3 linked regions of the Cricetulus griseus genome follow. The main gene of each other region encodes a partner of the protein of the gene in region 3 in a complex. Links are inferred from orthologs where the notes say so. Each region holds a gene or a part of one and is shown on either strand. Other genes may lie near its edges. The genes, in order: Vip, Adcyap1 and Vipr1.

Region 1 (7,667 bases), on a different chromosome or scaffold from region 3:
CCCTCGGGAGGCAGAGGCAGGTGGATCTCTGGGAGTTCGAGGCCAGCCTGGTCTCCAGAGCCAGTGCCAGGATAGGCTCCAAAGCTACACAGAGAAACCCTGCCTGGAAAAACCAAAAAAAAAAGGGGGGGGGGAAGCGTTTTCCTTGGGTTTTATAATAATAGACTATCCATGACAAATTCAATATAGTAATTTTCCCCAAGGTTAACATAAGGAAAAACGTCTCTACATTAGCTGGTCAATGGAGCTCTGGTTTTCTCCCCATTCCTTTAAACAAGAGAAAACAAAACAGAAAGAAAAGCATTTTTGTAAAAATCTGTGAGTTAAGACTTTGAACTGTAGATGGTGCTGTGATTCTGTTTTAAATGATTTTGTCCTGTTTAAATTTGTAGCCCAAACTAATTCTTTGATTTAGTCTATTTTCCTCCATAGGTGAGGCAATTAAATTCTCTTTATTATCTTGTTTTATTGTGGTGATGGGAGAAACCGTCTTCATTATTGCAGAAATATATCATGGTTACTCTTCATGAATGCTTCTTAGACCAAGTGGTGAGCAATCTTGATGTCATTTTTCTGCTTATCATTCAGGATCGATTCCTCTGTGATCCCTAATCTACTTATTTTGCCTGTGCAGCTTTTAAATGAAATTGTTTCACTGAGGATTTGGTGACAATGAGCTCAGAATAAAAAATTCCATATGAAACCATTTTAACCTCTAGTTTGTAACAATTGGGAAAAAAAAAAAAAAAAAAGGTTTCCTGGAATTAAGCCACAGGAACTCTGGCTTAAGTCAGAGCTGTCAACTGGAAAACAAAATTCCAGACATTTTGAAATTTAATTCATTTAATTTTTCTTGTAACTGGATTAGAAAATATGATTAAGCCTAGCAAGACAACTCTCACTGCATCAGTCAGCCTTGAATGCTGCAAGGAGATACTAAAATCATAGAGTAGAAGAAAGTAAAGGAGATTGAGAGCTATATTTCCCCAAGGAAAATACAAAAGGAATGTAATAGAAGGCACACACCAGGACTTTTAAAAGATAGGACATTGTCTTTGTTTTCTGTGACACTCTTAGGATAGCTGCATTTTGACGTTAAGTCCCAATTAAATGTATGTCAGGCTACTTTGGGTGCAAAGTCAAGAAAAAGAAATTAAGCAGTCATCACAGAACTCTACAAAGGTTTCAAACCAGCTGATTTTTTGGAATTACCTTTATGTAAAGTGACAAAGTCAGGGATGTTAAATCCTGAAGTAGGGAGAATTCTGAGGGCAGTGCGAGAAACAAAGGAATTCAACATTACGCAAAGACTTAAAATGAGGAGGATACCTTTGAAGAGAAAGAAAACTTCAATCCCTGGAGTATACAGTCTGATCACTATTTATCCTTGGAACATCTGATATAAGATGTGAAGGAAAGCAGTGGGAATTACAGTGTTTTATACAAAGCATGGGAGAGCGATAATGCCATTGATTAGACAATGATTTGCATACTATACCATCTTAATGTAATGGAGCTTTTTCTGAGGGCTAGCTTCAACATAAAGGAAATGTAATAACAGAAAGATGCAAAATAATTTGTGGTTGCTTTTAAAATTAGAATATTCTTCAAGAAAACATTCTGATGTGCACAAAGATGAAAAGGCATTAAGAGAATTGACACTTTGCAAAAAAAGGAAGGATTATACTGTAAGCATAGCAAATACAAGTGTTTGTTTTCTGCATTTTTTTTCTACAAGCAGTCCTTATTTTCTAAGGAACCCCCAAGGCCTTGGGCTATGGCAGTATAATCACCCTCTAATTCTTGACAACTGAGTAAAGATTAAAGCATTGCACATCCAGCTCGGCACTTTTTGTTTAAAAAAAGTACATTTCCTGTATCTTGAACTTCTTTGCTATAAATGTATATAAATCAGGCATGATGACAATTTAATAAGAACTTCAAGACCTGTTCATCCCATGGGATCACCACTGTGACGTCTTTCGGGCAGCCTTCTGATTGCTCAGCCCTAAGCAAGAGCCCTATAAAATGAGGGACTTTGAAATGCTGGTCAGGTTGGAGTGCAGAGCCCTAGCTGGCAACAGCCACCCATTCCACAGGACCGGGCAGACTGGTGGAGCCTTCTCCCAGCCAGATCTTCAGCACCCTAGACAGCTCCCACTCTCCCCAAAGACAGTCCTGCCTGAAGGGTAAGTAAAATCTTCCGTTTCTTCATTTCCTCTCTGTCTTTGGGACTTTTATAGGAGGGTTTTTTCCTCTCTCTCTTAAAAAGAATTTTACAGTATTCATTTTTTTCAATAGAAAAATGAAATGATAATGATAAGACACTCGATAAAGGTAGAAATACCTCAATTTCTTTCATCTGAACCCATCTGTTTAGAAGATTCTTAGTCCTACCTAACCTTTGTTAAATATTGCCTCTTTTAAAGTGAAGGAAGATGAATTTGCTTGTGTGTGGAGTTTTAACCAAAGGGTTCAGTTGTTGCATTTGTTTTTGAGGTTTTCAACTTATGCTTAAAGTGCTTTTTCATTCTGTTTCTTGTGTTGATTAGACCTGGGAGGAACTCACTTTCTTCATCATTTACATTTTAAAAGCTGTGACTTTTATAGTTATTGAAAGTCAGAATCCTTGAACACCTGTATGCTAGTTAGAAAGTGTTTAGAAATACAATGTGTGAATGTATGGAATGCAAGACTCATAGGCTCTACACACACACACACACACACACACACACACTATTTTCTGAGAAAACTTGTACCAACACCAAATGGCTCTGAGGGCATTAGCTTTCATCCTTGAGTTCATTTTCTTGAGCCTTAGCTTAAAGAAGAAAGTTCTCCATGATATCTATAATGAATGCAGGGAAAAAAAGAATTTAACTATAATATGTATACAAGATTTTTGCCTTAATGATGCATATCTATACTTTATATCCATATATGCACATATGAACATGCAAACTTGCCAATGTAGTTGACTAGAAATCATTGCATGGGTAGCACTCAAGTTTTATAGTAATCAGACATTAAAGTTTAAAGGGGAAAAAATTCCTTGAAGCTCTTTCCTTCACCAGAAAAGACACCAGATTGTATATTACAACTGTGTTATCAAAACACTGGGTCTGTAGTTAGTTATGTGCAGCACAACAGGAGTGTAGTCTCAAACAGACACTAACTGTGACTGAGTGCCTGCTGAGAGAAAGACAAAGGGGATCTTAGTTTGTATTCAAATGTCTTAACTCAAGGGAAATCTTTATTTTTAAAAGTAATCTTACAACAATAAGCTTAATACTTTTCTGAAGATGAAATGGCTTTTTCTCAACTCTGCAAGAGCCTTCAGAAGTATTGATAGACCCTCAGAATGTTGCCAAGTGTAGCTGGGAAAGCCAGTATCCCTTCTCTTTCCAGAGGCACCGAGATGGAAGCCAGAAGCAAGCCCCAGTTCTTGGCATTCTTGATGCTCTTCAGTGTGCTGTTCTCTCAGTCACTGGCCTGGCCTCTCTTTGGACCACCCTCTGCTGTAAGGTAAGTCTCATTCTGAGAAAGTGCACTCTCAATTCAGATAGGCAGGCATTTCCTCTGTATCTAAATGAGATTTCCCACATGTCATTTTGGAGAGTGGTGCATTTTAAATTACATATTATTTTACTTTGATCACCGTGTTACACAGATTCATTTCCAACCAAACTTAAAAGGTTTGTTCTGGGCTCCAGAATTCACCTTCAGTATATGGAAGACAACATCAGCCTTGCCCACCAGATAGACCCCATTTCCAAACTAGTGTTAGAAAACAAACAAATTCCTATGCTTTTTTCAATCTCAGGCCAGTTCTGTTTCTGGTAGAAAAATAGTTGTTTACTTGCCAGCTTCATTTAAATTGATATTTAATAAAAATGACAATAAGATTAATAGTTCATTAATGAGATATGCACACCTGAAATTTTCTTGGGCAGAAATAGGTCCAGGAAGAACCACCTTGCCACTATTAGAGATCATGAGAAAGTATATGAACTAAACTACAGTCCTCATAGTATTCTCTATTCAAACTATGAGTTCTTAGTTTTACTATTTGATATATAGAAGGTCATGCTTCACATTCATAAGGAATGCAACTCAATTTAACCTAAAGAAAAACAGATTTATGTTACTAGTCATTTCATACTTGACATTTCTAATCTACAGAGTCACTGTTATCTAAAGGCAAATCACCATTTGGTTATTTGCTCCATCTTATGCTCAGTATAGTGAATAGTCTCTCAGCTATTAATGTTCTCTGAGAAATTGTAAAACACACTGCCCACGCCCCACCCCCCAATCACGATTTGGAAACTAGAGTCCCAATGCCCAGATCTCAGCAGATGAACAGTCTCAGGAATGCTGAAATTCACACTGACTTCTCAACCCCAGGCTATGAGATGATTGTTTTTTACTATCTGCTTCAGCACCACCCAGAGATACAAAAGTGCCCAAGAGCTGAGATTTACCCTAATTTTGAACACACATATATACTCTCTCTCTCTCTCTCTCTCTCTCTCTCTCTCTCTCTCTCTCTCTCTCTCTCTCACACACACACACACACACACACACACACACACACACACTCTCACACACACATTTTTAATACAGTACTGGTATCAAAAATACAGATGCATCCACAAGTAGTTTATATTCTATATGTCATAAAGGTGATTCTTATTTTGTAGTACAGCATAATACATTTCTAATCAGAATATGCTAACATGTGTAATATGAAGAACTAGAGGGACTCATTAAATTTGCTACATTGTAATAACCACTCACAAATGTGGAGATCTTTAGGTGTGATCAATAAGGAGAAATATATCTTGCTGACATAAAGCTTTGTGGTACATGTCAGGGAACCAGAGAGAGGAAAGCAGCTTATAAGCTACTCCTGGCCTGAATTTGAGCAATTGGTACTAAATATCACCACTTATATGAATAAGTATCAGTTATCATGTTGAATGTTCACTTTTTATATGTTTATATCTTGTATAATGCTTTCTACCTGCTAGTGTTACTTCACAAATGGACATAGTCAGGTATGCTGATGCAATCAATGTGCTTTGCTTACAGCTTCACTAGAATTGAATAAAGTAGAAATTATGTTTGGTTTTAAAAGCTTATCGAAGTTGAATGACATCAATTTTGTGAGCTCACCCAAATTACTACTTATATCTTCATTAAACATGGAAGCTATGGAGTCAAATTATCCTATTCTTATTCTTGCAAATGGATACTATGTCCCAATATCTTCTTCTCCTGTCTCAAATAGTTGCAGGACCATAAACACCACTTTCTAAGAAAGGATGGTATTGCATTTCTAGTGTGTTTTGCCTTAATAGGTTGGATGACAGGGTGCCGTTTGAAGGAGCAAGTGACCCTGATCAAGTGTCATTAAAAGCAGACACTGACATCTTACAGAATGCCCTAGCGGAAAATGACACACCCTATTACGATGTATCCAGGTAAGTTCACTCTTATGTATCTATTTCAGAAACACATGTGAAAAAGATTAAATAGTCTAGTTTTATCTTACCAAGAGACAGTTTTCCATGACTCTGCTCAGCCTGATTGGCATAAATTGCCTTACAGCCTTCAGGCATCATTCAATAGCTCAGATTAGACAAATGCCAGGTCAAACTCCCACAGCTAGGATTCCATGAGTGAACAAATAAAAGGGGTCAAGATATCCAATAGTGCTGTTCACTCATGCAACTTCTTGTCTAGAGCAGTGTCTCAGAACAGACCACAAACGACGTCACACTGAAGGCAAGGTATAAAAGGTTCCTCTTGTGCTTACAAGATTCACTGGTAGACCCAAGGTTTGCTCTGTTGCAAGAGATTTGTTTCCTCATTATTTTTGGTGGCAAAGAATAATTAAAACACAGAATACTGGCGAGTTTGACCAAATTTACATGGTTTTTTTTTCATTGTATATATTTTTATTTAAGGTAGCAGCTTCTAAAACTCCATAAAAATATAGAAACCATAAATGAATTTTAAAGCAAGGTTTACTAGGAAAATTCATTTTAAATATCCTGTCAGGGAATAAAACTGAAGCACATATCTAAAATAGCTCATTTTTTTTCAAGGTAGCTAGAAGCTTATAGTTTATATCTTGCTCCAAGCAACTAGGAACTTCCTTTTGCTATGGTGCTAGACTTCATTTTTGACTTAAGTTTTAGTAAGCATTTCTGTAAGTAGTTTTCAGATTCCTTTGATAACTCTGCAGGAGATTTTACCAAGCAATTATTGTGCTTGCTTCCTTGCTTTAGAAATGCCAGGCATGCTGATGGAGTTTTCACCAGCGACTACAGTAGACTTCTGGGTCAGATTTCTGCCAAAAAATACCTTGAGTCACTCATTGGAAAACGAATCAGGTAAAGAGTACTTATTATTTTTTAATAAATGCTCCATCTCCAAATTCTGTTTTCCTTTCTTGAATGTTATTTTCCTTGCCCAAGGCTGAAACTCTTTGATTACAATCAACTTATTTAGAGAAAATAATGTATGTTATTAAATAAAACACACCAGCCCCCACCCCACTCCCCAGTGAAATAGAGTTTTTGGTACTTATGGACTCTAAATGTATTTTTCTTAAGACGCATATTTACAAATGAGTCAAACTGAGCTAAAATCAGTAAAAAAAAAAAAAAAAAAAGAGCATTGATGCATCTCCTACTTTCTATTGACATCTTTACTTTCATTTTTTCTCACTTTTTTTTAGCAGTAACATCTCGGAAGACCCAGTGCCAATCAAACGACACTCGGATGCAGTCTTCACGGATAACTACACCCGTCTTAGAAAGCAAATGGCTGTAAAGAAATACTTGAATTCCATTCTGAATGGAAAGAGAAGGTAAGGGAAAAGATAACCGGATGAAGTGAAAATATGTAAATGACCTTCAAACTTTAAGCTCTACTTGGAGACATCTCACTTTCTCCATCACATGGTCTACTTTGTGTGAACTGCTCACTCATTCTCGACTCAAACTGATGTCATACTTCCCTGGCAAACCTTTAAAATACGGGCACATGAATGTTAGCCTACAGCCATTAGAAAGCAGTCTCCCTGGGAATACTGACCTGGAAACTCCATTTGAATTTATAAGTCAACAGGGTTGAAAATGATGGCTATTTTGTCATCGGGGGCAGTTTAATCAAATGTTCGCTTTTAAAATATGGAAAGTACAATTAACAATTTTGGCAAGCAGGAGAACCCTATCATATTTGATCCAACAACCCTGCTTTATCACATTTAACCAGGATGTATCTCCTGTTCCAGTTCTAAAAGCATGTGTCTTATAGTGTGTAAATATTGGACACAGTAATAAGGGGTAGAATGCTCTCTCTTCTCATTCCAGTTGTTTTTGTGCGCATGGTATTAAGCATAATTCTGTTCGGGTGAAATCAGACAAGAGTATCCTCTCTGCCCAATAAATGATAATTCCATAAGGCTGATTTGAGACACTAAGGTCTTGGAACAATTCACAGGCAATCATCAGCTGCAGAGATCAATGTTTATCCCCAGTGTGTCTTGCAGAGCCTAGATAATTACATAGGCATGGTGTTATAATTGTTTCTTTGGAACCTTCCTCAGAGAAGAATGTTAACACATTCATTTTCCTTCTGGTCTGTAGCAGTGA
Region 2 (7,476 bases), on a different chromosome or scaffold from region 3:
AAGGGGCTGGACTTGCCCCCTGATTCTCAGACCTGGGGCAGTTCTCAAACCAGTCCCTCTGCAGGGTCCTCCTCTGCCACAACATACTCTCCCTCTTCCAATCCGCCTCTGTTTCTTTCACTTTGTTCCAATTGCCCTAGCTTTGGGATAGTCGGTTCCCTGGAGAATCGGGAAGTACAGAAAAGAGATCTTTCTCTCCAAGCCGGTCTCCACTGTACAGTTCCTCAATTCTCATCCCAGGGAATGACTTGAATTCTGGGGAGAAGCACAATTTGGATCTAGTTGTTGTTTAATTAGAATTTCCTCTGGGCTGAGAGTCTGAGGAGAGACAAATACACATAAAATTAGAATCAAAAAAAGCAAAAGTGTTGGAATTGCCCGCAGCCAGTGGGACAATGCCCGCTTGAGTTAGGCTGGGGTTCAAACAGCCTGCCCCAGAGACTCACAGGGAAAGAAAGCCCTTCAGCAATTCCCCCAGTCATTACTTCAGAATTCCCCTGGAGCAGGGTATCATTGTTTTTGTACAGTAGCAAATGGCCATTATTGGTATCTTCAGGCCTGGTGTGGATAAAAATACTATCCTTTAATTCCAGTTTACAAAAATAGGAGTAATATTCAAAACAATGATTGTCTATTTTTTCTATTCATTTTATATAAAAACATAAACAGCTCAGGCGAATTTTCAATCCTTGTGCACGCTTATGAATTGCTCTCTGTTATACTTATATATATTCTTAATATATGTTTATAATATATATCAATAATTGGTCCACAAAGTATATCTGTGCATTCTCTAGTGCTTCGTAAAAAGAAAAACAATATTATTATCAAAATAGTCATTTAATGGCTTTACTTCATACATAAATACATGTTTGGAAAGAACACATGAGCGATGATTGGTCAGTCAATTTGGAAAACGACTTTTCATTTTATACACACCGTAGCTGGCAACTCATCGCTACAAGTAAGCTATTCGGCGTCCTTTGTTTTTAACCCTTTGTTTATACCTTTTCCCTAGCACAGCCGCCAAGTATTTCTTGACCGCCATTTGTTTTCGGTAGCGGCTGTAGCTATCGGTGAAGATGCCGTCCGAGTGGCGTTTGGTAAGGGGAGCCCGGTCGTCCGCTGCGCTGGCGCCTACGTTCTCGCTGCAAGGAGAGGGGGCGGGGAGAGGGGGCGGGGCGGGAGACCCGTTGAGTGAGTGCGAAGGAAACAAGTGTGCCCCACCCCCACGCTGGAGTCCTCAGAACTCCGAACTTCCCGGCGCTGCCCTCCTCTGCCGGCGCCCCAGCTGGCAGGAATACTGTGCTGGAGACCCCGGGGAACCTCCTTCCCACCCACAGTTTCCTGGCACTAGATCTCTCCCATCTTTCTAGGTATTTCTGAAGCATCCCAGGGCGACCGGAGAATACGCGCTCTTTAATCTTTTCTCCAAACGTTTCTTCTCAAGACTGCACTATCCATGCTGCTAGCTAAATTGTCTGGACTTGTACCTTTCCACCACCCGACATACAAAGGTTCCTAAAGGCCTCGCTGGCTTTTGCCAAGTTAACGATTCCCCAAATCTAGGCAAACACGGGCACGCCTCTCTCTATCTTTGCCTATGTTAACTTGAAAAACGTGACAGTGATTTAAGGCGACAAGCTGTAGGCAATATTTTTCACTGCATGAATTATTCATGTTTAAATGTAATCGGCTTCCCTGTGGGCTTTATTTAAATGTTGCCTTCTGCTGACACAAGCTTCATACAAGACCTTAGCCCTGGGTTTGTCTAGCCCGAGCAAAAACTGTTTCTTTGAAGTATCCAATTCGAGGACTTTGTTCCTTAGGTTGGCCTTTATAGAAAACGTAATGCTCCTCCCCCAAATTAGGGCAAACCTCGAGGGTTTTGAATGACTGGGAAGGGGGTTAACTTGCTTAGCTTGGCTTGGTTCTCGGTTCAATTTCCTACCCTCTTTCTCTCTCACCGGGTCTGTGGCTCTTAGGACAAATTTAAACGCCCAACTTTCAGAACTCCGCCCGAGGCTGGTAATAACCACCTAGATGCCCGGACGCAGACACACCCTCAGGCGCTCAGGCGTGCTGGAGTACAGAAACGTAGAAGCTGCCCCGCCCTCCCTACACGCTCTCAGTACCGTCACCCGCCCTGGCGCACACATCACTCGCTGGTTAACTCTGTCACAAACTCTTACCCTACGCCCCTGGCCACGACCGACTGCAGGTACTTCCGGGCGGACAGCTGGTCCAAGACTTTGCGGTAGGCTTCGTTAAGGATCTCATGGGCGACATCTCTAATGGGGGAGACAAAGTATGCGACCTGGGTCACTCACTGCCTCGGCCCTTCAAATGACAGCCAAGGCACCCACCCAACAACCACTAGTGACACAGGACCTGGGAGTTACTTTGGGAAGCCCCTGGGGGGTGAATCTAAGATGGGGTTTATCCTTGACCTCTGGGGTGACCTCGCTGGCCTGAGAGCTCTCACCAATCGAGTTACACACTCACTGACATCTCTCTTGCCACAGAGCTTTCTGCCCGTGGTGCGGCCTCAGGTTAACAGGAATCTGCCTGCTAATTTTCTGTGGCTCTCATGGATTCACCCAGGTAGAAGGGAGGCTTAAGGACTTTCATGAGAAGTGCCCTAGTTTTAGAGCCACTACCGGGTCCCTCCCGCCACGCACCTCCTGTCCGCTGGATAGTAGAGGGCATAGGCGTCACGCAGAGCGGAGGCGGGACTCCCTACGCCCGGAGGGTCCCAGTCATAGAAGTCCTGCAGAGGGTTTCCGTCCTGGTCGTAAGTCTCATCTTCTGGTCTGCGAGATAGCCAGAAGGAGGGTCATTAAAAGTTCTTTCCCAATTCTACCAGGCACCAAGAAGGTCCCATTGATTTTCCTTCTTCGTTATGGCCCCCCACGGAGAATTATCCTTTCTTCCAGAATGGTCCTAGGAACGAGATAAGGGAACTGCACCCAGCATCATTTCCTTCCCCACAAGGAAATTCGCTCACATCTCCTCAGGTCCCCGGCAAGAGGACTAAACAACCTTGTAGACCCCAATACCTGGCCAAGTGAAAGGTCAGCCCTCTCCCCTCCTGGCTCCCCAGGCTTCCCCCAAGAAGCATTTAGAACGCACGGGAAAGATCCTACGAGTTGATATGAGCAGAGACGGGGAGACTCAGAGCGGAATGAAGTGATGGATGGGTAGGTAGGATGCAGGAGGCCAACTCCGGCAGGAGCCACCCCCATCCAAGCCGCCCAGCCCAGGGGAGCCCTTCCCCGCGCGGATGTAGGTCACAGAGAACCTCCAGCTTCTATTTTAGACTGGAGAGAATCTGCTAGGAACATGAATAATAGATGCCCCTAAACTTAGCTAGTTTGGCTCATTCTGTGGTGCGGCAGAGAGCTCCAGTGCCTATCACCCAGGAAAAGTGCTAGGCACAGGGAACTTTGCGAATAGCCAGAGGTGAAAGAGGGCTTTCCAGTCCATTAAACAAAGAGTTCCTGATGATCCGTTAGCAATGGGGGAGGCTGAATTCCATCTCAACCCCAGAGGAAGGAAAGGGGTCGACTGGGAACTGACATTCCGTAGGTGTCCAGCCATCTTACAGTCTCCTCACCTACCGCCTCCATTCCCGACAGAGGACAGGCAGAAGAGGACAAAAATGCAAAGCCGGTGACTTTTGGACCTTGGGGATATGTGGAATGCAATAGGGACAAATAACATTATTCAGGCAGGGTCCAGTCGTACTTGGGCCGCTCTATCACCTTTCAGCCCTCCCTGGAGAAGCCAGAGTCAGATAAGATCCTCCGCACCGCTCACATCCAGGCTCCCCACATACACACACAACCTATGCCCCCAGACCAAGCCCCGACCAAGCCCCAGACCCAGGATCTTTCTAGCCACCCCCTGCTCTTCCCAGCGCCCACGTGCCAGAATCCTGATGAAGAAGCTAGGATTCCTGTCTGCCAACACATCAATGGGCAGACGCCCCCTAGGGCAGAGGTTCTTGGGCGCGGCTGCAAGAGTAAACTCAACGTCAACGCGAGCGCTCCTGGCTGCCCTCAGTGCCGCCCCGCACCCATCGACGCGGAATCACACATTTCCACTGTCCCGCATAAGGGTGGGGGGGTGGTTCTGAGGCTACGGTAGGGAACCCGGGCAGCGCCTCTTCATTAGAAGCAGATGCCAAGATAAAAACTACGTTTTCTGCATCCTCAAGTGGGCTAGGTTGTCCCCCAACCCCTCCAGCCTGCTGGCTTTTTCTCCTTTCTTCACATCCGTTTATTCCCCCTCCCTCGCTCCTTCTTGTGTTTTCCGTCTATCAAGTAGCTTTTCTTTAACCGTGGCTAGCCGAGACCCCCCTCCCCCCGGCCACACACACACACACACACACACACACACACACACACACACAAGACGTCTAGGGCTCAAACTGTAGTCGAAACAGAATTCATTTGGAAGAGAGCTGTTATGGTTGGAAAAGAATTTATATGAGACAACAGGAAGGGCGGAGGAGATAGAGACCCCGCCCCAATAGTCTAGAATAGGCAGTAACAAAGCAAAGTGGAGAGAGCTTCACTCTCAGCCCCGGGCTTTTCTATGGGAGCTGAAGTTCTCCAACTCGTCCTAAGAATAAATAAAAAGAAGCTGAGCGGAGTAAGGGGCACCCTGCCCCCTCCCTTGGGCAAGTTAGACAAGGAAAGGTTTCTACAAGGGTCGGAAACTCACTCCCTTTACCTGGGTTCCTGGGCTCCACTGGTGAGGAAGGAGGGAGTCTAGCTGTACTAGAGCCTTTCTAACCCCCAGGGTTAGCTAGGGACCTGGTACCTAGCCAAAGGCTGTAGAAATGCCCTGGACACACAGGAAGCGATGCTTAGCAGCCTGCGATCCAGAACTGCAGGGAGGCGACCGGGAGGTGTCTGGCGAAGGGAGGATCTAGCTCAGCCTAGACTTGCACCTACCTGATCCCAGGGAAACGGAGTCCGGCTGCGGCAGGTGAGCAGGAGACGCTGCTATGCATTATTATCCCGTAGACCAGCAAGGCCAGCCTTGCTCCGCTACACATGGTCATTCTGCGCAGGAGAAAAAAGAGGGAACGCAGTGAGTGAAATCGCCCCTGGCTTCCCACCTTCTAACCTCAAGAAACTCTAGGGAGCTGGGGGAGCCAGCAAAGCTGCTGCTCCCTGTATTGAACGCCACTTAGCCACGCTAGTGCGTCTGGCCACTTCTCCCTTGGTATAGTTCGGGAAAAAAAAAAAAAAAAAAAAAAAAAAAAAGCTTATGTGTGCCCAGCACTCAGCAACTAGCCAAACCTTGAACTAAAGAAGGCTAACTCGTACACTGATGCTGCTGCCAGCACGGGGAGGGATCCTGTAGTCAATGAATCGGTTAGTATGGTATGGTGAGAGGTTTTCCCCCTCCCTTACTATTAGACTCTTACCGTGGCTAGGCGAGGGTTGGTTGCCAAGTAGGACGGAGGGCAAAGGGCTCCTTCGAGTTTCCGGGCTGGAATCAAAACTCAAGAGGCATCACTCACTGTCTGGCGCTGGTGTCTGGAGAGAAGCCGCGGGAATTAGCTGGAGGAGCTGGGGGGACTTGTTTGCCGAGGCTAAAATTCCACTCAAAACTTTGTAGACGCACAGAACTAGAAGGGAGCGTGACACTGAAGGAGGTGGGCGAGGAGAGAGATGTAGAAGACAGAGTAGGCGAGCAGCCAAAGGGAGGGGGAGCAGAGTGGCCTTAAATCCGCCTGGGGAAAGAAGCTGGTGGGTAAGAAAAAGGGGGGAAGTCCAGGAAGAAGGGAAGATGGAAAAGGAGAGGGCTAGCCCAGGCTGCCTCTGTGGGAGGCGAATCGGGCAGCTAGCAAGAATCCAAGGCACCTTCTCTGCTCCGAGGTCTTAAGCTGCTGCGTCTGAGGATGCGGCTTCTGCTGCTGCTGACAGAGGTGACCGGCCTTCTGCTCGTATTTATATATTCAGTTAACACAAAAAAAGCTATCCGAATATGGTTTCAAGACACCTCTTTGTCAATATATGTCTTCAATTGCCTTCAAGTACAGAATATTTTGATTGCACTGTTGCGCTCCGATTTTTATTCATGATATGACTTCCTTTTTTTTTTTTTTTTCAGTCACGTAATGATCCGGTATCAGTAAAAGACGTCAGCATCCTAGTCCCTCAAGGAACATATTAACTATTCTGTGCTGTCCTCCAGGATGATAAGATCCGGAGTCATCAGCTTCTCATAAACACCTTTCACTCACACAATCCAATTTTTAAGAAGTCCAATTATCTTGATGGTTTTCTATTTCACCCATTTCTCAAAGTCAAGTAAAGAATTCGTGGAATGTAGGGGATAGTGAAGTCCTGTTTTTATTGTGCCTCTTCTTTTTACTTTTTACTCAAGCCCCTTCGAGGACAACACTGATCTTTAATAAACTCTCTCATTAATAAATTTAATTTAGATCTCTTAATTTCTTGCTTATGCTACTACAGCTAGGCAATTAAATGTGGAAGTCGTTTTGTGTTTTAAAGGGAAGTCTTGAAGGATTTTTCAGTAAATATCTAATGAGTCTGGATGTGTTGACTGTCTGTCTCTGAGTGGATTGACCAGACAGACAAGGCTGCCTTGAGAGCAGAGCCTGTGGCGCTGTCCAGGCTCTGAGTGCTGAACTGTTGGGCGCAGATGCTACAAACGTTAAAAATTGCCACTGGCTTAATTTTCACCACAGCCTCTAAATCTGAAGGTTTGGCAGTGGTGCTCTTACTGTGGCAATTCATTGTCGAAATCACCCCGCTGTTCAGATCCATCTCCCCTTGCATCCTGTGTCCACAAATGCCCCAGTGTTCAGAACCTTCTTAATCCTTGCCTTAGATTTCAACGCAGAGCTTTTTCTTCTTAGTCCTGGTAGTTGAATATCTACCTTCCTTGTTTGCACTCTTTGACAGTCTTTGTGGCTCTTACTGATTTTAAAAATTGAAGCCATGGCATCGTGTTTTCTGCAATAATTGAAATTTAAGAATGTGAGAGTGAGAAATGTGTCTTACACTTCTCTTACAAGTTGAATTCTGTTTATGGAAATACAGGCTGGGAATGCAGGAGGATTCCTAGCACAGGTTATCCTGGTGAAGGTTACTACCAGGAACTGTTCCCTGGGAATAGTTAATATTTTTAACTAAAACTAAAATGAGAAGAATGCAATAAGGAAAAACCACATCCACCGGGAAACTTCTGAGCCCCTGCATAAGATTCATAAATTTCTGGTCCACTAAGAGACCTTGAGTGTCTTTCTTTTTAAAAGGAAATAGAAGCATCAGTAACAATTAGTGTATATTTTAACTATTTGGATCTATACACACACAAAAATAGAGGAAATTACAATTAAGTGGGAGTGCTTCCTGTTACTGTTATTTGGGGCTAGTGCTTAAATAAGCTGTTAGTTCTGCATACTTTTTCAGAAGCATAGTGTTTTAATGC
Region 3 (7,694 bases):
TGGGGTAAAAACTTTCCAGGGGGTTGTAGAGATGCCCCCATCTGTGAAGTATCTGCTGTACAGGCATGAGGACCTGAGTTTGGATCCTCAGCACCCATGTAAAAGCCACATATAGTGGAACACAAATCTGGCTAGCTAGCCTAGGCATTTACCCAAGAAAACAAAATATATTCACTTCTTTGTGAATGTATATGGCCACTTATTTACAATTGCCCCAAACTGGAAGCCATACTCCTGGCAATCCTCCTGCCTCAGCCTCCTGAGTGCCGAGAATGCAAGTGTGTGTGTGACCATGCCCAGCCCAGCCCAGCTCATTTTAAACTCTCTCTCTCTCTCTCTCTCTCTCTCTCTCTCTCTCTCTCTCTCTCTCTCTCTCTCTCTCTCTCTCCTCTCTCTCTCTCATTCTCTCTCTCTTCCTCTCTCTCCTTCTCTCTCTTTCTCCTTCTCTCTCTCCTTCTCTCTTTCTCTCTCTCTCTCTCTCTCTCTCTCTCTCTCTCTCTCTTTCACACACACACACACAGACACACAGGCACACAAACATGCATGCATACACACTCTAGTGCACACATGCATGTGCACACACACACACACACACAGAGAGAGAGAGAGAGAGAGAGAGAGAGAGAGAGAGAGCTTTCAAGAGATCTCATAGTTGCTGGACTCTCAGTGGAGACACCCAGCCTGCTCGATCTTGGGGCACTTGCTGGGAAGTTTCCTCTGGGGGCAGGGAGCCTTTCACAGGGTACATATTCAATTTAACCCCCCTGTTGTCCTGGACACCCTGAGGAAGAGGACCCAGGATCTGTGGGTGCTGCTAGTACTAGTACCAACTGCGGAACACTGAACACCAACCATCCAAGGAGCCCAAGGCTGCAAGTCTTTAACTTACAGATGCCAGCCTGTGGACTCTTCCCCTCCTCCAACGCCCTGTCATGCAGGAAGAACTTGTTTTGGAGGTGACTAGGAAGAGGTGTGCTTCCTGAGAGATGCAGATCTTAGTGCCTTGAACCACACAAGACAGAATGCACAGAGGGCGGTCCTGCCTGGGGAAGCTGCCCAATGCTCACTGCCAAGGCACCTCACTCTCACCTCAAATGCCTGCCAGCTGGCCGTCTGACCCCATCAGTCAGACAGAAGAGCCCCGGCAATAAGACAGCCCTGTGAGAATGTCACTGCTCACTTTGTGGTGCTTCGGCGTGGTTGGAGAATATTTCAACATTGGATACGAGGGAAGGTAAGCATGCCCGTCCTCTGAGGAGGGACCAGAGTGTCGTACAGGAAAATGGCCTTTGATTTTAGAGATGCCTTTGGAACCAGGGCTAGTGGCCAATATTCCTCTAATTGACTTAAATACACTTTAGCCAAAATAAACAGGTGATGTAAAAATTAAACATTGAAGTTACCCGATGTCAAACCTAGGGAATATTTGTATGTTCATCATATTATCCTTTTATGAAGATTTTTTATTTTTTATGTGTATGTGTATGTATCTTAGAATTTGTATGTCTATCACACACCTAAACAAGGAGGCCACAAGAGGGTACTGGATGCCCTGGGACTGGAGTTATGGGTGGTTGTGAGTGTGCTCTGCAGAGCAGTGTGTTGTTCTTAGCCACAGAGCCATTTCTCCAGTCCCTTATTGTGCTATGCTTACTTGTTTATTGACCTGATGCGAGTTCTCATCGAGGGGCCCAGGCTGGTCTTGAACTCAGCCTCCTGAGTGCTGGAATTACAGGCACGAGCCACCACTCACAGCTTTATCATAATATTCTTTCTACTTGTTTATGTTTGAAACATTTTTACAGTAAAGAAACCTATTCATGTGGTGGAAACGTTGAACTTTTCTTCAAAGCACTGCTGAGAAGCAGGAGAGATTTTGCTATGCATTGAGGCTCTCCTGCATACAATGTTGGGAATCCAAATGGGAAGGCAAAGTGTGAGACGCTGAGAAAAGGCCACAGCTCACATTAGCCCCCAGCCTTCAACCCTCACCTGTGCCCAAGCAGCCACAGTGAAGGGGTTGGTAATGGCAGGACAGTGCCCGGGTAGAAGATCTGCTCTGGTATAATAACACAAATCGAATTGCCATCAAGGCTTCCCTCACTGGGATGTGTCCTGCCAACTACTGCCCGGCCTCCTCTAAGAGGCCCTGTCACCTCATTAAGACACCTCATGAGAACACCCCGCCCACTCCATGGATCTTGCCTGCCCTGGCTGGATAAAGGTCCAAGCTCAAGGATCAAGGAGCAGGGATGACCTGTCATGTGGGTCACACAACAACTCACTACCTTTTCTTCCTTCAGGGTTCACACAGGGCTGTCTGGACACCCAGCCCTGCCTCGTGTGGGACCTAGGGTTCAGAGTAGAAAGTGGGGCTAGCTCTGCCCTCCCAATTCTCCTTCACACTGGGCCCAGGGTTCTCTCATCCAGTCAGAAATGGGGAAAACAGGTTCTTCTATAGAGGTTAGAGATGTTTTCCAAGCCAACTAGGCATGGCTGTGGGGTAGGACAGGGTTTAAGGCTCCAGTCCTAAGCTGTGACCCCAATGCAAGCTGCAGAAGCCTCAGAGGAGGCTAGGCCTCCAGAGTCTAGGAGGGGGAGGCATAAACCTCTAGAGGCTTCTGTCTTTCAGGGAGGCCCTGGGAGTCCTGAACAGGAATAACTAAGGTTGTCTCTAGTCCAGAAAGTAGCCTGGCCCAGTAGCCACCATATTTCCTAAAGTTCAGTGAGGTCTGCTGAGGCCAGAGGCCTGGGCAGTAGTGAGAGGACCCTGGAAAGGTTCATAGTAGTGGCCAGGAAGGACTCCTCCAGTGAGGTGTGACCCTCAGAAGCAGGACTTCCACCTGTCTGGGGATACTCAGAGGAGCCAGCCTTGCCCTTCATCCCAGCCATCCAGGTTCTAAGGGGACCCAGGGACTGGGCTTCTCTCCACCTTCTGGGGCCAGGCTAGCAAAGGCTGTTTTCACAGTTTACAGTTGAGGGTTGGCCAATGTAGCCAAACTTCATTTTTCTTCCAAGGGGGTCTGTCTGTCTGTCTGTCTGTCTGTCTGTCTGTCTGTCTGCTGTCACAGCAGCCCCGTCCCTCAGTTCTTAGAGGCTGTGCCCCACATCCATTCGAAGTCACTGGCTGTGCTGTGCTCCTGCAGCGGAAACTCTTAAGGACCTCAGACTGTCTCTAGTCTGAGTGTCCCCACCAGCTTGGCACTGTGCATCTGTCTGCTGCCCTGGGGGACAGGAGCTACGGGAGACCTTGGGACATACTTTACTTCCTTCTCTGGGACACCGGGCACCAGAGGGTTTCTTTTCTTTTTCCTTTCCTTTTTTTTTTTTTTTTTTTTTTTTTTTTTTTTGGCTTCCCTGTTCAAAGATTTCCCTTCCCAGGCCAAGGCAGGGCCCCATAAACAGAGCGATAAGGCTCTGTGCCTTCAATGTGAACTCTGCAGCTGCCATTTTATGGCTCTGATAACATGTCCCCCCCAAGTCCGGCTGGAGCAGGAACACTGGGTGTCCGTTCCAGGAGGGAGCAAGTAAGGATGGCAAGGCAAGAACAGGGACCCTCCTCCAGGCCAGGCGGAGTCCCTTCCCCTTCTTTTGTGGGCCGGGCCCTGAACTGGACCAAGCAGACAGTAAGTCTGACTCCACATGAGGGGCAGAGCAGCTCAGACGGGACGGGTAGTGGAACGGAAGGATGGGGTCAGAGTGGGAGATCTGAAGCAGTCAGGAAGAGGAAACCAGAAGTGGTGCTGAATGAATAAGACCCGGGAAGACAAGAAGAAGGGATTGGAGGGGCTGGGCTCAAGCTATGTCCAGATGGAGGGCACCTGGAGACCTCCAGTTGTGCAAAGACCCCAAAATGAACCTGAGTAGCTGGGACCCGGAGTTGGGAGAGCTGGAGAGTTGCTGCTATGTGGCCTGAAGACTGTGACGTGAAGAGACAGAGTTAGACGGAGTGTGGAGTGTGAGGAGGTGGGACTCTGAACTAGAGGAGGGGGCAGTTCTCAGAGGGCTGCACCTTCACCAGAGGATGAGCCCTCCCAGGTGAGGGTGTGCCAGACACCAGCTAGGTGGACACAGATTCACCTCCCAATTCCTGCTCTGGCGCAGGCGATGATAAGGGGAGGTAACCGTGGAGAGAACCCACTAGGTGACCAAGATTCCCCGCCCTCCTCCAGACAGCCTGCTGTTTCCACCAGAAAACACCTGGGAAAAGACTGTCTTGAAGCAGCAGACCCACAGGCCAGGAGCAAAGGGAGGAAGACGATCACCTCTACCCAAGTACGGCTGGCGAGGACAGGTGTGGCTCCTGTGGCCTCATTTGCCCTTCTGTAAAATGGGCAGACCTAGTCTTGAGATCCTCCTTACTCTCAGAGAAGGCCACCCAGCCGCATCTGCCCCACAGGCCTGGCGATCCATCCACAGCCACAGGATCACACCCACACACATACCGGTGTGCGAGGAAGAAGAGGTCGGAGGCAGAGCAAGGGCCCCTGCTTTCCCCAGCACATGCCAGTCCCTGCCACCAACTCTGACCTTTCTCTGCCCACCATCCTATAGTTAGAGGAGGCAGAGCACAGGGGACAGTCCTGTCACCCATAAGATACCAACGACCCCTTCCCAGGCCACAGGCATGAACGCTGCATCTGCTGCTAGCGGAGGTCTTCATATCCCACAAGTTCACATAATGCCCAGAGACGCTTGCAGACCCTCACAGCCTCCTTTCCACCTCACAGTCTACCGGATCTCCCATCTCACCAGGTCCTGCCACCCCCAGCTCTCCTCCCCACGCACCCCCACAGATACTCCTCGCAACGCCAGGCTGGGGCTCCCTCTCGCCCTCAACCTCTCCACCGCTGCCTGAGATCGCCCCGAGGTGAGCCCTCTAGGCTGTGCTGGGAGGGACCCGGTGCCATCGAGCTCCCACGCCTCTGGGCTAGACTCGGTCCCGGGTGGAGAGAGAAGATGAGAACCGCGCTCCTGCTGCCCCCCGATGGCCAGATGGCCCCAGATCCTCCGCCCCCGCAGCTCCCTCATTCCGGGGATCCGGGTGGAGGGGCGCACACTCACCGCGGGTCCCAGGGCGCAGGCGAGGGCTCCTGCCAGCAGGCAGAGCCAGCGGGCAGGCGGTGCGCTCGAAGGGCGCATGGTCCGCCCTGAGCCCGCCGCAGGCGGCCGCCGCGGTTGCGGGGTCTGCGGCTGCTGCAGCTCGGCAGAGAGGCGCGGGCCGGCGGCCCCCGCGCTGAGAGGCGCAGCTCCGGCCTGGAGAGGGCGGCGGGGGCTCGTCTGACGGGCAGCGGGGTCGCCCAATGGCGCGGCGGAGGCGGGGCCTCGGCGCAGGTAGGGGGCGGAGCCTGGGCGCCCGGGGGCGTGAGCGCGGAGTCCGCTAGCGGTGTGCGTCGTCGGGAGCCTCAGCTGGCGTCGTCCTAGCGGCTCCGCACCGCTCGGCGTTCCCGCGCCCGCACCTGCTCTCCCCGCCCAGGCCGCGCCCCCGGCCCTCGGTCCCCGGCAGCGCGCCCCTCCGGCCGTCCGCTCCAGGGGGACGGGGACCGGGTGGGTGGAGAGGAGCGGCCGCCTCCTTGGTTCCCACGCCGCGCGCAGCCCAGATTGCTGGACCAGAAGGGTCCGCCGCTTTCCGGGGCTCCAGACTGGGTTCCAACGGGGTCCCGCGGATCGCGCTGCCGGAGCCGTCTGTGGCCGGGGAGAAGCCGAGGGGAGCGCAGCCGGAGCCGGGAGCCCTGACCCGGGGTTCCTCCAGGCCGCTCTAGGGCCTTCGCAGGGCGCACTCAGAGATGGACGCGTCTCGGCCCGCGCAGCTTGCGAGGGACGCGGAGTCAACGCGCCAGCGCCACGGCGCGGGGACCGAAGCTGTACCTGTTCGCGGGCCCGGGCTGCCCGCAGACCCTTCCTCCCAGAGTCTGAGGTCCCCAGGAACCAGGAGCAGGGAGCGGTGCCCCGCGCTGCGGCTCCAAGATCGCGCCGGCCGGCCAGCCGGGACTGCGCTGCCTCCTACGCTTGTCTTTGGGACTCGGTTTACTGTGCGCTGGCGTGGGGCGCGGAGTCACCCGCTCAGAGCTCTCTGCGCGCCACTTATTAGGGAACCAGGGCAGATGCCTGCCCCGTCTTTCCGAGAGCTCGGGCGGTCCCAGTGAGAAGGTGATGTGGGGGGCTGACGGCGCGACGGGACAGAAGGAGGGAGGAGGGCCCGGGTGCGGTGCAGACACGGAGAGAGCCTCGTGTCCCTGCGCGCCAGTGCAGTGTGCGATCCTCTGGAGGAGGTCCGTCTCCAGGCGCTTTCTGGCCAGCAGGGGCGCGGGAATCTCCCCGAGGACTCTCTGGCCTTCCCAACCTGCAACGTGGGAAACTAGGGCTGTGGGCGTGGCCTTGAGGACGGTTACAGAAAAGTCTGGAAGCGACCCCTGGCCTTCCTCCATTTCTGTTGGCTGGGTGGAGCTTTCTACCCCCCCCCCACCTCATCCCCTACATCAGTGCACCGCACCTTCCTTGCTCTCTCTGCCCCGAACTTTATTAGTCTCGGATTCTCAGCCAGGCCTCCTACACACATCAGGGCATGGAGGTAAATGGATACCGGGGGCGCTCCCTGCCGTTTCTACTTCCTTATAGAGATTGGGCTAACTGGACACAGGCCTTTCTCCAGAGGTGGGGATGTCAGAGGAGGGAGCTGTTCAGTAGTTGCCCTCCAATGTGTCAGCATCGGGACAGGACTTCGGGAGCCACCGTGAGCTCAGGACCCATGGTTTGCCTCTCCTTGTGGCCCTCGGTGCTGTCCTCTCAGGCCTTAGGCAGTGGGGTCTTACGTTAAACCCATGGGCTTTGGCTCTCGACTCTGCCCACACCCACATGTCACCTAGGCAGCTGCAGAATGCTGAGACCCCATCAGCAAATGCGGCGTGGTGGCACATGCCTGTGACCCCAGATCTCTGGGGGCCAAGGGAAAAGGATTGCAGCGGGTTTCAGGCCAGCCTGCAAAATGTTGCACTATTTCACCGTAAGGGACTGTTAGCATTTACTTGCTCTCTCTGCACAAGGATCTTGGGAGGGGGGCTTTAGGGAACACGGAGGGGAGTGGGGACTGGAGGGTGGGAGGGAGCTAGACTCCCATTTTGCCCTGTGACCCTCACTAGGTGGGTGGAAGGCTGCCCTGACCACACTGATCCCTCTGAGGCTGGGGGTTGCAGGCCTGGTGTCTTCCCAGCCCAACCCCCAGGAGAGGAAGGCGGCTCCTTCCAATTCTCTTGCCATGAAAGCCACTCTTGGTTCGTTCTGTATTCTTCCTCGAGAAATCCATCCTTCCTTACCATTGTAGGACACAAGACACATTCAGAAATTAAAAGATCAGGAAAACAGCAAACAAACAAACAAAAACCAGGGCCTTAATAACTCAACTTAGGCTACTCCTGGCTCCCAAACCCTGTGTCCTGAGACACTGGGAGATCAACCATGAGCCTACTCTTGGGGAGCCCTGTGGAATCTGAAGAGGACACCTGTTGTTTACCTAGGCAATAGGAAAGGCTTCAGGAGGGAAGAAATGTCAGAAGCTGGGGTGGAGGCAGGTGGGCTTCCTGAGGCTGAGGGGGCAGGCACCTGAGCCTGAGGAGATGGCACCTATGGCAGTGGGTGTAGTCACCTTCCCCACCATGTCTTGAGATCCTTCTTGAGTCCCTGTACTTATTGTTTGC

Evidence for each region.
Region 1: the proteins of Vipr1 (region 3) and Vip are in contact, whole or in part, in a cryo-EM structure (PDB 8E3Z), measured with the Homo sapiens proteins. The link is inferred for Cricetulus griseus from reciprocal best matches to the Homo sapiens genes VIPR1 and VIP. Residues at the interface, in NP_004615.2 of Homo sapiens: Glu36, Cys37, Val40, Ile43, Asn69, Phe90, Leu92, Phe93, Tyr118, Ile120, Asp125, Asp126, Asp132, Gln135, Thr136, Tyr139, Val142, Lys143, Tyr146, Tyr150, Arg188, Lys195, Phe200, Ser202, Glu204, Ser205, Gln207, Cys208, Met219, Phe222; in NP_003372.1 of Homo sapiens: His125, Ser126, Asp127, Ala128, Val129, Phe130, Thr131, Asp132, Asn133, Tyr134, Thr135, Arg136, Leu137, Arg138, Lys139, Gln140, Met141, Ala142, Val143, Lys144, Lys145, Tyr146, Leu147, Asn148, Ile150, Leu151, Asn152.
Region 2: the proteins of Vipr1 (region 3) and Adcyap1 are in contact, whole or in part, in a cryo-EM structure (PDB 8E3Y), measured with the Homo sapiens proteins. The link is inferred for Cricetulus griseus from reciprocal best matches to the Homo sapiens genes VIPR1 and ADCYAP1. Residues at the interface, in NP_004615.2 of Homo sapiens: Glu36, Val40, Ile43, Asn69, Leu70, Ile89, Phe90, Phe93, Ile120, Gly123, Leu124, Lys127, Asp132, Gln135, Thr136, Tyr139, Val142, Lys143, Tyr146, Tyr150, Arg188, Val192, Lys195, Phe200, Glu204, Ser205, Cys208, Phe222, Gln223, Val226; in NP_001093203.1 of Homo sapiens: His132, Ser133, Asp134, Gly135, Ile136, Phe137, Thr138, Asp139, Ser140, Tyr141, Ser142, Arg143, Tyr144, Arg145, Lys146, Gln147, Met148, Ala149, Val150, Lys151, Tyr153, Leu154, Ala155, Val157, Leu158.

Annotation. Positions count from the first base shown.
Region 1 is NC_048595.1:283,195,870-283,203,536, forward strand, and holds the start of Vip (VIP peptides), read left to right. Parts: upstream 1-3,418; coding exon 3,419-3,525; intron 3,526-5,363; coding exon 5,364-5,486; intron 5,487-6,296; coding exon 6,297-6,401; intron 6,402-6,748; coding exon 6,749-6,880; intron 6,881-7,661; coding exon 7,662-7,667. UniProt on the Homo sapiens protein: PHM-27 and PHV-42 are two bioactive forms from proteolysis of the same precursor protein, that cause vasodilation. PHM-27 is a potent agonist of the calcitonin receptor CALCR, with similar efficacy as calcitonin.
Region 2 is NC_048595.1:461,365,702-461,373,177, forward strand, and holds Adcyap1 (pituitary adenylate cyclase-activating polypeptide), read right to left. Parts: upstream 5,072-7,476; coding exon 4,962-5,071; intron 2,814-4,961; coding exon 2,682-2,813; intron 2,292-2,681; coding exon 2,193-2,291; intron 1,149-2,192; coding exon 959-1,148; downstream 1-958. UniProt on the Homo sapiens protein: PACAP is a neuropeptide involved in diverse array of physiological processes through activating the PACAP subfamily of class B1 G protein-coupled receptors: VIP receptor 1 (VIPR1), VIP receptor 2 (VIPR2), and PACAP type I receptor (ADCYAP1R1).
Region 3 is NC_048597.1:228,642,481-228,650,174, reverse strand, and holds the start of Vipr1 (vasoactive intestinal polypeptide receptor 1), read right to left. Parts: upstream 5,143-7,694; coding exon 5,065-5,142; intron 1-5,064. UniProt on the Homo sapiens protein: G protein-coupled receptor activated by the neuropeptides vasoactive intestinal peptide (VIP) and pituitary adenylate cyclase-activating polypeptide (ADCYAP1/PACAP).